2 linked regions of the Drosophila melanogaster genome follow. The protein of the gene in region 1 interacts with the protein of each later gene in a pairwise test. Each region holds a gene or a part of one and is shown in the gene's direction. Other genes may lie near its edges.

Evidence for each region. The genes of interacting proteins can lie anywhere in the genome.
Region 2: the proteins of SKIP (region 1) and Shal interact in a two-hybrid assay, tested with the Drosophila melanogaster proteins (one study listed by BioGRID).

Annotation. Positions count from the first base shown.
Region 1 is NT_033777.3:22,130,014-22,138,361, forward strand, and holds the start of SKIP (shal K[+] channel interacting protein), read left to right. Parts: upstream 1-3,816; 5' UTR 3,817-4,438; intron 4,439-8,348. Other genes in the region: CG42390 (uncharacterized protein), read left to right, coding at 1-19, 95-434, 493-579, 634-784, 853-1,162, 1,230-1,329, 1,558-1,740, 2,088-2,231 and 1 more.
Region 2 is NT_037436.4:19,579,787-19,588,078, reverse strand, and holds the start of Shal (shaker cognate l), read left to right. Parts: upstream 1-3,510; 5' UTR 3,511-3,757; exon of another isoform or gene 3,758-3,768; intron 3,769-8,292. Other genes in the region: CG9330 (uncharacterized protein), read right to left, coding at 25-198, 258-905, 964-1,187, 1,288-1,544, 1,610-1,697; CG9231 (uncharacterized protein), read left to right, coding at 2,164-2,330, 2,395-2,605. UniProt on the Drosophila melanogaster protein: Mediates the voltage-dependent potassium ion permeability of excitable membranes.

The DNA of each region.
Region 1 (8,348 bases):
CTCAGGACACACAATCGAGGTGAGAAATCATTATTCTAAACAAGCGTATAAATTATAAATAAAGCTATTAAATAATATCTTATATCAATTATAGAGCGCGAGGAAACTTTGATGACGGACTGCGAGTGGCAACTGCGGCAGATGCAGCGGCAGTGCAAGGACAAGACGGACAAGTCCAACTACGAGCGAAAGCAGGCGACCGCCAAGGCGGAGGAGCTGGAACTGGAGTTGCAGTCCCGCCGTAGGGAGTCCGAGATGCTGCGCACCTGCCAGGCGCAGGTGAATTCGCTGAGGGGCGTGGTCAGCGAACAGGAGCAGTCCATCCAGACGCTAATGGATCGCATCGAGAACCTGAAGGGAGATCTACAGTCGGCCAATGAAAACCTCGAGGCCCAGATCGAGGCGGTGCACAAGATCAAGTATCAGTGTGATAAGTGCGTATAATTGGGAATTATCCATGGAATTTGATTGTAATGATTATATTTTTTACAGTGCCATCTATGATAAGGAACGCCAAATGATCTACAAAATCGATGAGGTGCGAAATGAGGCAGCCGCCTTCTGGGAAAACAAACTTTAGTAAGTCACAAGTCATCATATTGAGTGCTCCAAATTGAACTTTTATGCCTTCAGCACAGAGATGACAAGACTGACAAATGAACTGGAGTCCGTGTATGTGGACGAGCGTCGCGAGGCGTTGGACAAACTGCAGAACGAGCACATCGAGGAGCTGAGGGCCCTGACCAACAGATACACGGCCAACGAGGAGGAACTGCGATCTGAGGTGGGTTCATAGTGTTATAGATAAACTGCAATCGAATGCATATTTGCATTTTATAAACCATCATTTAGATTGACGATCTGCACGAGAGCCTGGAGCAAAAGAAACAGGATTTCCTCAGCCTGCGCGAACGTTCGGATAACGCCCTGCTTCAGACCCGAATGCATTTGGATAAGGCCGATCGCGAGTACCAGAATGCCATGTGCCGCGAGGAGGATCGCCGTGTCGAGCTGGAGGAACGACTCCAGAAGGAGTTCGAGGCGGAGAAGGCCGAAATGGAGGAGAAGTTCCGCGAACGTCTCGGTCAAGTTAAGGAGGAGTTTGCCAAGGAACTGCAGCTCTCCACTCAGGAAATGGTCGAATCACATCGAAAGGAGCTGGGTAAAGATACATGTGTATATTGATTATTATTATATATAATTATATAATTGATTATATCAATCGGCAGACTCACAAAAGGCCAAGTTGCAGGCGGAGAAGGAGGAGGCGTTGCAGGAACTTGTGGAGCGACATCGCGCAAAAATGGCCGCTGCCGATGAACGAATCAAGTGAGTGAATGCAATGTGGCATGCCCCGCCCCATGGGCATACTTACCTTAATAGTGCCCCCTGACCGCTGCTCCCCACTAAATTGAAGCAGGATCCATTGGCTTGCATTGAATGTCTGCATCCTACTCATTTGCCACATTTGTCACATTGGAGTCCTTGAACTCGATCCATTATCACATGAACTTGTATTCTGTTCTCTTTCGTTTCACATTTCATTCATTGGATCAGCATGGATCAGCGTTTAGGTCGATCGACAGCCTCTCCAGCCCTGTGGGCGTTTGCAAAGGGGGCGTGGCCGTATATGCCCACACTATATGTGCTATATCTGACCATGTCGCCGCTGATCGCCATTGCATGCTTGGTGTTCAATATTGTCGCAGTGATCTATATCAAATATCGCCACCTCCTAGCGCGCCAATAAAATATTAATCCCCCTTTTCACGCTTAAAATGATTCTTGATTTAAATTTAAGACTGGCCATCATCGAAAATCTCTTGTTAGACATAAGACATTGGTATTGAAATGTTTGAAATGCGAACAAAACCCATAAGAAAAAAAATATGTTTTTATCTGGCATGCAGCTTGTCAAACGTTGTCCTTCTGGTGCGATTCTCCTAATATTTTACTTTCTCTTTCTCGCTATGTGTGTGTATCCACCTCAACCTCTGACCACTCTATATAACCTGAATAACCCCAACCCGAATCCGAATCTGCATCCGTATCCGCGTACGCATTCGTATCCGCATCCGCAACCGCAGCGATGTAGAACTTCGGCACCAGCGCAATCTCAAGGACCTGAAGGCGGCCTACGATGCCGAGAAGGCGGCGCTGGACAAGCGCGACATCAGCAACGCCAACGAGATCGAGCAGCTGCATCGCAAGTGCCGCTGCCTGACCAATCTGTAAGTGCACCCATTCCCCAAAAACCACCAGCCACCCTGACCCATCTTCCCCAAGGTCGAGTTCCTAAGTCTAAGGAAAGTTAATTAAAAGATTGAGTGTGATTGAGACCACAGATCTATGGAATTATGATTCGAAACTTTCGAATTTTGCTAAAATATAAGATTCTTATCTTTATATAATTTTGAAAAATAAAAAAATAAAATCGGAAAGGAAAGGGATTTAAGAGCTCGACCTTTTAACTCTTTTTATCTTTAACACAAATTTATCTTACTTTTGCTTGTCCGTGTTGTGGGATGTTGTACGCCAAGTCAGTATCCAGCATCCGCCTTGAATTCACCATTATCCTTTTTGGTAGTTTAGTAGTGAATATAGTAAATATTTAAGGAATTTTGCAATCCTTTTTGCGCAGATTTGAGGAGATGCGCATGCGATACGAAAGACGAGATCCTCGAGCCGAGGATCTGCGTGAGATAACCGAATTGAGGACACGATGCGAGAGTCAGGAGCGGGATTTGTATGTGCTCACCGATCGCCTGCGGGAAATGCAGATTCAAATGTCCGAGATGCAACAAAATGGTGACCGCAAAGGCGGTGGAAAAGCGGTAAAGAAGCCGCCGCCCAAATCAATAGCCACCAGCTGTGACGTCATATACGAGGAAAACGAGGAGCGAGAATCGCCCGACAAGGAAAATGGTGAGAACTCCTCCCAGGGGGACGAGGACGATGAAGCGGATGAGGAGGTCGAGCAGGAACCCAGCGACACCGAGTCCAATCACACGATCGAGGTCAATGGAAAGTCGGATCGAATCAACGAGGATGACGCCCATCTCATCACCGCCGTGTGAGCGGTCAAAACTTTCTATATACATAGATCTTCCAATTTTGTGGCTGTATTCTTCGAGATCCCCAGGAGTGGATGTTCCAGGACCAAGGATGTGTGTGTGATCCCGGGTGCTTTTGGTGCTTCATGTGCTGCCCTCTGTATCGCTGGATACGGAAATCGAACCACTCAATCAAATCGCTCAAAGCTTGAACTCATAAAAATTGTAAATTAAATTTCTGAATTGGTTTCTGAAACCGCCAAAAACAAAAAGAAACGAAATAAATGTAAATATTTTTAATAATACTGATATTTATACAGTTTACTATTTTTTTATTTATTGCTTAGACTTAACAGCTGTTAGCTTAACAGTTATCTTGGCACTGTAAATGCGAGAGAATTTAATTTTCAAGAGAGACGCATGCGCATCAATTGTACTAAATGAACTAAATTCGCCCAATTAGTACGTATTTCAAATATAAGAATGCAATTGTGGCGCGGCTAAATTTAAATGATCTACGGGCAAGAAAACGGTAAACAATAATTGTACTTTTCTAATTATGAAATATAAATAGAAACAAACAATTTATTGAATTTTTGTGCACTTCTTTTAATATAAGAAACGTAAGTTCGAAACCCTTCGAACTCGAACTAAATCGGTTGCATCGAACCAAGAGAGTGACCGTTCGCGAGCTCGGCTGTGATGCTAAAAATGCCAGATGGAGCAAGCAACATATACGAATATATACGAACGCATTTATCGCCGCGCGGTCAGTCGTCGAAATGTTCGAGATCCGGTCGTTTTGAAAACCAGCTCGAGCGGTCTATTCGCGTGAAATTGAAACTGAAAAAGCCGGTAAAACTGAAGCAAGTGTGTTGTGATTGAGAATTGAGCGAAACGAAAACGGTGGCCAAACGAGCCGTTTAATAAGCAAACAGGCTGGCCAATAACCAATTACCATCAGCCATGCCATCAAGGAATCGTGATAACGCAGACACAACCGGCAGCAATTTGTTAATTTGAAACGTCGTGTGTGTTCCTCTACGAAAAAAAAAACCCAGTTATTTAGCAAGCATTTAAATTGCATTTGTAGCATAGCACTTTAGTTGCGCGTAGGAGGAACAGCAAGGTCGTTGGGGTCGAATGTGAATGTTTGTGATGCAAGTGACAAAATCAAAATTGGAGTAAATTGGTAGCCATTCCTGTGAGCATTTTCGCGTCGCGTAACGGTAAATCATTGCGCCCTGCGTGTCTTCGTGTGCGTGCGTGTTTGAGTGTACGTTTTTCGGTTTTGTTTTCATCTCCTCCTTGCCATCCTCCTTTCTTCCACCTTCAATTGCCATCTCCTAATTTCCTCTACGAACGGAGAAACACGAAAACGAAAAGTAAGTGCCGCTACTTCTATTCCTCCTATATGTGTTATTGTAAAAGATTTGCAGCCATGTGTGCCTGTGTGTGCTTTTGTGTGTGTGAGGGAGATTTCGTGAGTGCGATAGTGTGTGTGTGCAGCCTCCACCAAGCGCCGCATTTAAAGGATATTCCTAATCCGTTTTATTGATTGCAGGGCAGAAAGGAGCGGCGAAAAAACAGCAACAACAACAACTACACAGCTGGAGTGCTCAAACTGTGTGTGTGCCTGTGTTTAGTTCTTGTTCTCGGCAATCTGTGCCGCTTTTTTTTATGTTTTTATTCCCTTCCCATTTCCACTCTATCCTCATCCTCCGGGGTTGCTGTTGTTGTTGTTGTCGGTGATTTAGTAGTGCCTGCTGTTTTCGTTTCATCTCTGTCTCCCTCTTATTTCCCTCTAATTCTGACTCTTGGCCGGCTTTTTGTTGTTGCTGCCCACAGATTTCCTGACAAATGTTAATTATTTATGCAACACTTCCTCTCTGCATTTTGTTATACAATTGTCCATTTTTCACTCATTTGGTTTAAATTGTATAAACACTTCCTTAATGTCTTGAAAACTTCCTTTTTGAGATAGAATGACTCATAAAGTCACATATTTCACTTAAAAAGTGCGTATCTTCTTTCGAATTGAAAGTTCTTGTGCAAAATTACAACACGCATTTAACCCACTGATATAAATTCTTTAATTGAAAATTATGCAGAATCACATAATATGAAATATTCAAAGACATATTGAAAGTTCGACATAATGATTTATCGAACTCAATTAATTTCTGTCTCGAGCAATAATTAAACGTCAATTAAAAAAACATTGATTACTTGTGTGCTTTCAACATTTTGAGACTTGAAATGTTTTTTAAACACCTGTCGTGGCCGTGTCCAAATAAAACCCTAAACTGCCGACTTTAGACACCGAAGAGGATTGTCATTTAAAATCACACAACCACACCTTCTTTTACCTTGTCTCTTATTTTTTTTGTGCCTGCTTGTTTGGGTAGCTTATCTGTGCTTATAATACGTGTACATTTTCGCTGCGTTCCATATCTCGGTGAATAACTTCATCAGAAAATTAAGCGAAATATGCCTGGCACCTGCCCCCGTGGGCATAACTCAATAATCACATCAAATGTCGCCACTGGACTTGCAGTGCCGTGCTCCCTACGCCTTCCCCCTCCAGATGCCCACTTCCTGGAGCAGCGGTCGCAACACCTCCTTAAGAGGTGTGTCCACTGGTCTCCCTGGTCTCGCTGGTCTCCTCTCAACTCCCAGATCTTGGCTGCCCAGCCTTACCAGCTCTCCCCAGCTAATGCCGCACAGCTGCGCGCCATTTAAGTCGCTGACAAGTGTTTTGCCGGCATCTCCGGAATGCGACGGATACGGTGGCGAGGTGGAGAGCCGAGAAAGAATCGCCTGCTTCCATGGTTCCTGCTGCCACAGAAGCCGCAGCAAAAAGTGGCAGCCAACATTGCTACCAATTATGCGATAAGCGAGAGGAGCACTCTTCACAGCTCCACAGACTCACAGCTGATGCTATTTCACCTTTACAATTGTGAGAAAACTTTAGGCAAATATAGTGTGGGTTAGTAAATTAGTTGCGATTCAACTTTTGCGATATTTCCGACTGGAGTTTTGATGCTCTAAAAGCCACTTTAATGGTCTCCATTTAAGCATTTAGTTGTGGGCAAACAACACTTAATTGTACATCTACAAAATGTGCACTTATACTCCGAGTAATTGGTCAAAACAAAATTTACATAAAAGCATAGTTGTCTCGATGATTTTGCACTATTATTAAGAGCCATTAAAAATTTGCTTGAAATTTATACAATTATGATTGCAAAAATTGTAGAAAATTCATGGAATTTTTCATACTTTTGAAATACATTCTAGTTGTTTTACATTAAATCCGGGGCACCACTTAAACAATCCAAAGAAAGCAAAAGTCGCATCGATGTTTACACTTCCCACACTTTTTCAATTAAAATCCATTTTTTTTCGCACTTTGCCAGCAAGTTCGTGCAACTTGCAGGCGAACAACGTGTTAACATGGCCAAAAGCGGTGGGAGACTCGGGCTAATGAAGTGATTAGACTGCGATTTCGCCGATGTTGTTCCCTTTAAGAGTACGAAAAAAGCATAATAATAATGGAAAGGAAAAAAAAAAGAAAAAATGAAATTGGTTGGGGAAAACTAACAAAAGGCCGCGTGCGCAGCCATCAAACGAAACGAAAAGCGTGCAACTGCAACAAAAACACCGGCAAGAACAAGAGCAGAGGAATGACCTTATATTGCAACTGCAAGTCAAACAAAGGGCCGCTAATGGGTGGCATTGAGGGGGCACCTCGCCTCGCAGGGCAGGAAGGTGTAATCCCGGCCGAGGACCGAGGACCGAGCAGTGAGAACCGGTCGATGCCCATTGCCCAGTGCCCAGTGCCCATCGGAGTCCGCTCTCCGAACGGAGCGGCTACTGCGGGGCAATTGGGCCAAAAGCATAAAAATCAGTCAAGAGTCGCCTTCGCCAACTCCGTTCAGCATTAAAAGCGACAAACAAACAAACAGAACGGACACTGAGCCAAAAAAAAGGTGCATCCCCATAAAGATAATCACAGATATAAAGTGGATTTATGGTACTGATAGGCCTATATGTGTATCTTAATAGTTGAGTTGTAAAACAAGAATGGGAAACAAAATAAATCTTAAACGGAAAAGTGGATGAAATTTATAAAATTATCTTTAAAAAAGCTATTCCTTTTTTTTTTTTTGATAGTTTAAATGTGGAATTAAATTTAAATCCTTTTATACGTTTAAGTTCTTAAAGTCATAGAACGAACTTTTTAAAGGTATAACCCTTGGTATTTCTTGCTGTGGACAAACAGGAGTGCAACTCCCCTACTGGGAATGAAAATGGGAGTGGGACTGTCGACTGGCGGACTGAAGGCTGGGGAATACGAATGGCACTGTGACTGGGCAACGTACTCGAAATCGCACTCGCAGTGGAGCTGGATCTGGATCTGGACCTGAAACCTGGACACTCGCATCCAAAAGGCCGCCCGTGCGAGCGCAGGCAGCGCTAAAATCGATTTTCTCGCAAACTTGGCCAGGACGGGCAGCCGCAGGCCAACAACTACTCGCTGTCCTCGGCCCTTAGTGCTCTGCCCTGCTCCACATTGCCCCATTCCCATTCCCGTTGCCATTCCCAATCCCATTTCCAATCCCAGTCCGCCTGCTCCTGCTCCAGAGCCTCCTGTTATTCTGGCTGTAATGGATATGGTCGAGGCGCGCGCGGTTTTCGTACCCGAGATCCTCGTGGATTATGCGGATATACTGCGTTTGACCATCAAAATGTAATGGTCAAAAGGAACAACTTTTATTTGCTCAAGCTTTAAGCGAAATAAAGGAGTTTTTAGATTTTTACAATTTATAAAAAGAAGATGGACATGTTATTGTTAAATACTATTTGTATAAATACAATTGTATTTCACTTTGTAATTTCTAAGTTTTGTGTTTAAATCGCTTTTTAAGCAAAGGATATTGCCTAGTCGTGAGTGAGCTCCACTTTGCCTCACTTACTGGTTAATGATGATGCCGCTAATGATGATTCCTTTGATGACGATGATGATGATGACGGCGCGGATGATGATGGGGATGATGCGGCGACCACGGTTTCGCTGATTTCGCTGCTGGGGTCTGCTGGTGCAGCTAAAATTGCAAGTCAAACTGTCGTCGCTCGGCGTTGTTTAGTTGTTTTACCCGTGGCATGGCGCTGCTCCCTCCTTCTCTTTCTCTCTCTCTCTATCCCACTGTTCGCTCTCCCTCTTTCTCCGCCTTGGTAATTGCAATTGCAATTTTCTCCAAACTGCAGCAAGTCCGGCTCCTCGGACTCCAT
Region 2 (8,292 bases), on another chromosome or scaffold:
TTTAATTTATATTTTTGTACTTACAGCTTTTCGAGCATTTTAATTTTGGATTGCACAGACGAGGCACGGTTTGCGTTGTATCGGAAGCGATCGATGAAGTCCTGGACATGAGCTCTGTGAGCCATTTGGGCCTCGTATTCACGTCTTTGGGACTTCAGCTTCTCCGTCTTGGTCTTCTCGAACTGTTCATAGTTTCCCCTGGGGAAAAAACAATTTATATTTAAATTAGGCTACATTTTGTAATTTGTAATAGTTACTTGTATGCCTCCAGTTCCTGGGAATGTAGGTGAATAATGTCTGTCGGCACCGTGTCCAGGAAGTTGCGATCGTGAGAAACTACCAGAATGGTGGTGGCCCATGTCTGCAGATAGTTTTCCAGCCAAATAATGGCTTTGATGTCTAACATGTTCGTCGGCTCATCGAGCAGTAACAGATCGGGTTTTGAGAACAGTGCCCTGGCCAAAGCAAGACGCATGCGCCAGCCGCCTGAGAAGGATTTAGTTGGACGCAGCTGCATATCTGCATCGAATCCCAAGCCCTTAAGTATCACAGATGCGCGGGCCACAGCCTTGTCCGCCTCGATGTTCTGCAGAGAGGCGTAGGTCTCGCTCAGCTCATTGGACAGCGTCGCATCCTGAACTCCATTGTTAAGGGCAGCCAGAATCTCCTTCTCGCGGGTCAGAAGTCTCGTTCGCTCAGTATCACATTCCAGCACACTCTCCACTGCTGGTGTGTCATCGCCAACCACCTCCTGCTCCACGTGCAGCACCGATATGTGCGAAGGGATCTGTAGCTGTCGCTCGGCAATCATGCGGAGCAGTGTAGTCTTGCCCAGGCCATTGCGTCCCACCAGACCATAGCGGCGTCCGTAAGACAGCAGCAGATTCGCATTCTGCAGAAGAACTCTAAATGGAATTAACAATAATTTTCGGTTGCTCAATTTCGACAGTTAGGTTGCCTCACTTTTCGCCAAAAGCCAGGTCAAAGTTTTCGATCTTGATGTCCATGGATCGGTTAAGACCTTTCTGATCCAGCTTGGTGTTCTTCTTGTTGGTCACCTGTGAGGCTGTGGCCGTTTGTAGCTTCACCGCAACAGGAATCATACCATGTTTGTTCACCTCCTGCCGTTTCTCCTGCTTCTGCTGCAGCTTGGCCTCCGCCTTTCCTAGTTTCTTGGAGTCCACTTTCTGTTAAAATAAGAATAGTTTAGTTGTTATTTAATGAAAGTCGTATTGATGGCGCCGTTCATTCAGTTTATTGGAGTGGTTCGTCAAGGGGAACACTTACATTGGCGCCATCTTTGTTGGCCACCCAGATGCTTTGCATATCCTTGTCCAGCCGCTCCATGTTCTTGGCCATCTCCTCGATGTTGACCGGCGCGTTGAGAACCTTTCGCTCCACGTTGACCTCGTTGTTCTTCATGATGTTGAGGAACTGCTCGCAAAGCGTACGTACACTCTCCTCCGACCTATCACAGTCGACGCTCTGCAGGATGTCGCCCACCGCTTCGAAGATGTCATCGCCGCTTTCGAAGTCCTCCTCGCCTGGCAATTGGAATTTGTGTGCGGGGTAAAGAATAAAAGATCACAGGCTAGTGCAAGGCACTTACTTCCGGTGAGCACGCCAACGACATAGGTGAGCAGCTCGTGGTCGATTTTGGGAAACTCGCGCTGCAGAATGCTTGTGTACTCGCTCATCTTGACCTTGATCGCAAATTCGCTTTCTGGACGTGTGGCAGTCGGCTTTTAATTGACTTTTCCGACTTTTATTCCACCGCAAACGAAAACTAAAGGGGATAGCAGAGTGACCGTTGCTGGGTCGACTAAGCATATTTCAGAGATGGTCACACTGCTTTACTTCTAATATTTTTCCCTACTATATATTTTTAAATATCAGATTTATTTTTTCCAGCAGTTTTAGCACCATCAAAATTTCACCTGATTAACAAAGAATTTCCAGTTTAGTTTAGTTTGTTGTTCATTTTTTCAATCACTTCATTGTACAGTGTGAACGTCTCTCAGGGTGACCAAAGAAATCCCAGCTGTTTTCACAGTTATCGACCGTGTGACAGCTCTGTTATGTTAGCAACCACTGTTAATCGAATTGCATAAAATTCCAATTCTCTTTTGCAAGATTACTTGTGAAACGATTAAAAAAGGCAATATGCTAAGCAAAACGGGGTTAATTGGCGCCTTGGTGCGTAGATCCTTCGGCACCAGTCAGATGTTGCGAGAGACGATCAAGAACCACGAGCCAAACAATCTGGAGCGCCGTATGTTGGTTTGGACCGGCAAATACAAGTCGCAGTCCGAGATTCCCAATTTCGTTAGGTAAGTGCCGATTCTTAGAGAGCAAATGCAACAGGTGTCTAAGTTTTGGTGTCAAAACTTGCAGTCAGGATGTCATGGAGCGCTGCCGCAACAAAATGCGCATCCGCCTGGCCAACATAATGATCGCACTCACCGCCGTGGGATGCGCCATTATGGTGTACAGTGGCAAGCAGGCCGCCAAGAAAGGAGAATCCGTCACAAAGATGAATCTCGAGTGGCACAAACAGTTTAATGACTCTCAGCAGAGCGAAGGATCTGCTCCGGCCGCCAAATAGAAAATCACTCCGAAATCCCTCACTCGCCTAGTAATATTAGAACTGGCCAGGCTTCCATTTTCACTTCCAAAGAAGATTGGCTAAAACTGGCCTTAAAAGATTTTGCTAATAATCAGTTGGTCTGAAGATTGTTGAAAATTTTTCTTTTTAAATTTAGATTTTTATTTTTGATTTGAATGTGTGCGTTCAACTAAAAAAATTCATAATTATCCCAATTGGCCCATAAACTATGGAATGGAAAATGTTTGCAGGGCCAAATCTTTAGTGAATTTTTTGGCTTGGAAAGCACTTTGCCATAAGCATGTGTACAAGCCGTGTCCTTGATAGATATTCAGTGATATTTGTAATGTTGTATTATCAAAAATAAAACATATTTATTGCAAATCATGTTTGGGTGCGCTGGGTGAACCAAATTAATATTAAGATTTGGTCATGTTTTTATAAATAAATTATAAATTAACTATAATTAATTAAACTATACATTTTGGAGATACAATTCGGTTTCAAGTAACTTTCTTTTTCGATTATATTCGATTCAAAACAGTATAAAGGTTTGCTAAGTGTGGGTAACAGGTAAGGGGCTAATAAACTATAGATCCTGTGAAAAATGCATGGCTATCGACTGCGACTGAATTGTGATATCCTTGATATGAATCCATTGATATGTGGTATTAGCCATAAATATTTGATCATAGTTCATTCGGAAGGCAACATGAACATCTGTTTCGATTCTGCATCGTCTTCAGAGGCCAGTGGCCACCACTTGCTCGTCGAAGTGCGCCGACGCCGTGAGCATCTCGCTGCTGTCCCGGATTCTGGTTCGGATTTGGGTTCGGACTCGCATGCTCCGAGTGAAACTACCGACTGTCGGAGGCGCTGGCGCTTTTGCATTTACTTTTCACTTTCAGTTTGTCGAAAACTGTTTGTCTGAACGCCCCCAAGAAAACGCCGAGCGGAGCAAAAAGCGGGACGCAGTTTGGGCCAAGTTTTTTGTGGCCCCCGTGCGTGCAGAAAAGGCTGAAAAAGTGTCAGAAAAATTGTTTTTCCAAAAACAGACAGGGGCCAGCATCGAATTTCCCGGATCGAAAGCGTGGAAAATGTACACGCAGTAGTGCGGAAAATGTGCGGCTAACGAAAGGAGGAACGGATGAGGTGGGAAAAGTGTAAGAGGCGAGAAGTGTAAAATGCAATAAAACGAAAGGCGTGCGTATGTATGTGTAAACAGTTTTCCCCAATTTCCCAGCGAAATGCGGGCAGATGATGGACGATAGTCAACAGGAGTATAAAAAGCAATTGTTTAATCAAACATCAGCGAAAGCAGATTGCCTTCCCAGAAAATCCATAAAAAATGAGAGATTTTCCCTGTCTGTCTCTCTTGTTCATTTGTGTGTATGTGTGTGTGTGGGAGTGTGTTTCTCTGTGTACGGGTTTGTGTGGCAATATTCGTTTGCTTTTTTGATTTGTGAAAATGTGTGTATCCGCGAATGTTGCTGTTGTTGTTGTTGTTGTTTTTGTTGTTGCTGTAGCGCTCGTTCTCTCAGCAACAACAACAGCCGTAAAAAATAACAGAAAACCAGAGGGAAAATAAGTGTGGAAAATTCACATCTAGTTCAAACCGCCCATATCCTTGCCATGCGGTTAGCTCATTTTAAAACACGCTTTTTAAGTGCACCTTATGGCGTGCCTGCAGCCCAACAACAAGTTGTTTTTTCTGCATAGTTGGCCTATTTAAATCGACAATCGCCTCAGCCCCCCTCTCCACACACGCACCACCCACTCAGGGTATTAATTTGACCAGCGGGCCAGCGAAAATAGAGAAACAACATAACACGTTAAAAAAGCGTTAGGCACACAAAATATATAACGGTCGGTCCCACGAAAGTGAAGGTCGTCTGTAGGAGAGAAAGAGAGAGCGAGGCAGCCAGGAGCAAACAGGACACTGGGAAAAATCGTTGCTTTCCGATATTTCTTTAAAAATTCCTTCAAAGCATAACAATAATTCCTTTAAAATTTATTTTTACTGTTAGCCAGATTGTAGTGCTCCCATTTACATTTTACTTACATATGAACATAGTTTTTTTGTAGTATTTCTCTCATTCAAATATAATCATATAACTTATAGGGATTTTGATGTGTTTCTTAACAATAAATTTCTTATCTTATAAATAAACCCAACATTTGAAAATGTTGAAGTAGAATCCCGGAATTGGATTGCAACCTAACATTTATTTTCCCGATATTAATGAGTATAATAATGCAGATATCAAATTTATGTACTATCCTTTTGCCCAGTGCAGCTGCAGTCCATTTGTTGGCGTAAATGTGTGAAAAATCCTTGGCTTGGTTTTTGGCGCAATAACAAAGCTGCACTAATACCAGCATCACCGATGCAAGCGCACACACACACAAAGGCTTTATCTCTCTTCTATGTGTGTGTGTGTCTCTTTGATGACGCGCTTAAAGCAGCAGAGGCAGCGCAGTTGCAGCGCAGTTGCAGAGCAGCTGCCGCACATCCAGTAGTTGTTGTTTTGTTATCATTGGTTTAAAATTACACTTTTATTGCAGCTTAATGCACATGGACACCGTAATGCGGTTCTTTTATTACCTCACCTCAAATCGATGGGGTTGATCTTAATAGAAATAAGTGCTTTTACTCTTGAAGATCTTAGTAATAATTATCACGAATATCCTGTAGTATTGAAGATTTTTTGTTTCGACCGCAAATTATTTTGCTACCCCTGGTTGTATCTCTATACATATATCTCTTACACCCCAATAAGCACATATAGTACACAATCCCGTACGTGGTCACAGTTGTACGCGTATTTATACGCAGATATAAACACATTTTACGCATGAAAAGGCTTAGCGGGCCTACATAAATTACGCCATTGGCCACATCCAACCAAGCAACCACCACCCCATCGCTGTTAGCCGCACCATCCACCCAGTGCGACCCAGGATTTGGCTCTTTGGGCCACTTGCACGTCCACTGGACGCCCCGCATCATCACATCCCTTTGAACCGCTCTTGGTGTCCTGCTTGCCATGGCCATCAGGACGAAAGTTTTTCGGTGCTAGTGGTGGTGGATTCGCTACATTGCAGCTCTTCCAGCTGACGATGTTGGCCAACTGATAAGCACGACTCTATAAAGTTTTAATGTCTTTTGCAATTAATGCGAACAACGGCGGAAACTCCAAAGTTTCATCCTTGAACATCCCGAATCCCAACATTTTCTTATATTGTGTAAGCTATGAATTTGAGAAAAACTTTAACGGTTGAGAAGTATACGTATTGTATAATGATTACATAGATATCACACAAATGATGTGGGTATAATAATAAAAGGTAATAGCCAAAATAACAAGTGTAAGGATCAAATAGTTGAATATGGAATACATGTTATTTTGATTCAGTTTTTCCAAGTGCACGTGCCATTGAGTTTACCAGTTTCCAGCAACCCTTGCTTCTTCTTGTTGCTGCCCAGACTTGTTTCGGAACATGAAATTTAAATAATAAATCACCTTGAAATCGAATTGCTGTCGACGCATTCGGCCTTTTCTTGTATTGTCCTCTGGCACAACATGACGTATGGGCAATGCTTGAATTAATAATAAGCATACGCAGTGTGTTGCGGCTACATAAAAATTAATATGCGAAGGATGCTGAAAGCTGGTCAATATTTTTCTTGCCAATGCAAACAAATATTGTTGAAATTATTTTACTCCGTTTCCAAATTGAGATGATTTTAATTGTCCATGCATCAGTTGGCGAATAATTAAATGCATTTAATGCATGCCTTTGTTTGAATTTATAGCCAACATCGCGATGTTTATGATTCAATTACAAATTTATGTTTTTTAAATAATTATTGCAATCGGCTATTAAGATATGTGAAAGATTTTCTGTCCATGTGCAAATTTAATCCGAATAATTGTTTTCAAAAGCAACAAATTTGATTATGATTCGATGTTTTAATATTATTATAATAATAACATAAGCATAATTAGCTTACCCGTTGGCAATGATAAATCTGCTGACCCAAAATGCAGTGCACTGGGTGTGGGATCAATATTGCAGCAGAGATATTTATAGAGCTCTGACGATTGAAAATAAATCGTGTATAAAACCGATTTAATTTTCATGGGGGGAAAAGGTGCCACTAATGCGAATTAGTTTCTTTGAAATGCTTGCCAAATAGACACCTTACTCGAGGAGACACCTTCAATTTTGTTCCTAGTGGGAGGATACATAAAACCCTACTTAAGCGCGGCGACACACTCACGGGCAAAAGTGAAAAGTACAAGGAAAATTAGAAAATCTTTACAGGTCCCAGAGACAAATGGCGAAATGTTTTTTGATGTTGGGCCGACGGCGAGGGCAAAGGCCCTCCTCATCCCCAAATCCAAACACCAACCCAAACCCGAATCCGAACCAATCCCAGTCCGGATCCCACAGCCTAAGCCGAACGCTAGCCCGAAACCGAAACCGAGACCCACATCCTTAGCCCGTATCCAAAGCCCAAGGGTCCTATGAGCAGGCGCAGAGAAAATGAGACTCTCACCCACTCTCCCTTTCTCACATTCTCCCATTCTCTCGTTCTCTCGCGCTTCTCTGCTCAGTAGTACATATTTCTCATTTTTCATTAAGCCGATGGAACAAATTTAAAAAGAACGAAAAAACTAATTGTAAACAAAAGAAAATCATCGCGGGGAAATGTGGGAAATTCGAAGCAGTTGGGAAAACACCGAGTATTTTTGGTCCGGTCAGGAGGTTGTTGTGATGCCTCAAAAATAGTCCAAACAACAACAACAACCAACTAAACACGTAAACATTGTTAACTTATTGTCAATAAAAATACAAAACTGAAATGCCCACCAGGCTATAAAATTGCCTTTATGATCTGGAAACGCGTCCATTTCTTTTTGATTCGCATTTTGCCTCAAAGTTGCAGTTGTGTTCAACCTGCCCGCCGTTTCCACCCCCCGCCCCCCTCGATTTTCGCGAAAATGACTTCCGCTTCGAGAGGGCTAAAAAGAGAAAGTCAAAGTCGAGCCGCCATAATAAGGCGGGCCCACGCAATGGCTGCGATGGAAAATTCACAGGATTTCCGTAGATTTCTCGTGTGCTCCGCACATTAATGCCTAACTAGCATTTGGGTCCCGCAAATTGAATGGAACGGTCTCGAGGGCCGAGTGGGTGGTCCCGGTCCGCCTGCCTGTTTGTACTTTATAATAAACAAAAAACAAATAATAAACATTAAAAAAACGGGCAGTCAGGAAACACAAACAGGGGTGGAAAAAAAAGGAATGCGATGCTGATATGCCCTGAAAGCAACATTAATAGATAATAATTGCGGAGGCTCCGAGGTGTAAATTGATATGGCTATTCCCATGCTGAAGGTCAGAAAAGTATGCTATATTTATGCTGAGCACTGTGCCATGATGGTGGTACCTTTGTATATAGAAGAAATCTTAAATTATTATTATTTGCTAAAACAAAACAATTAATTATGTTAAATTGCTTATAAATTGTTTTGGAATAATAAGCTACAATATCCTTTAAAACCAATTTTTAAATCATAATAAAGTCCAACAGACGGCTTGTTGGTTTATTTTCAATAGAAAATCTGATTCGATATATCTTCGCATTACTAAACAATATATTTATATCATTAATTATGTAAA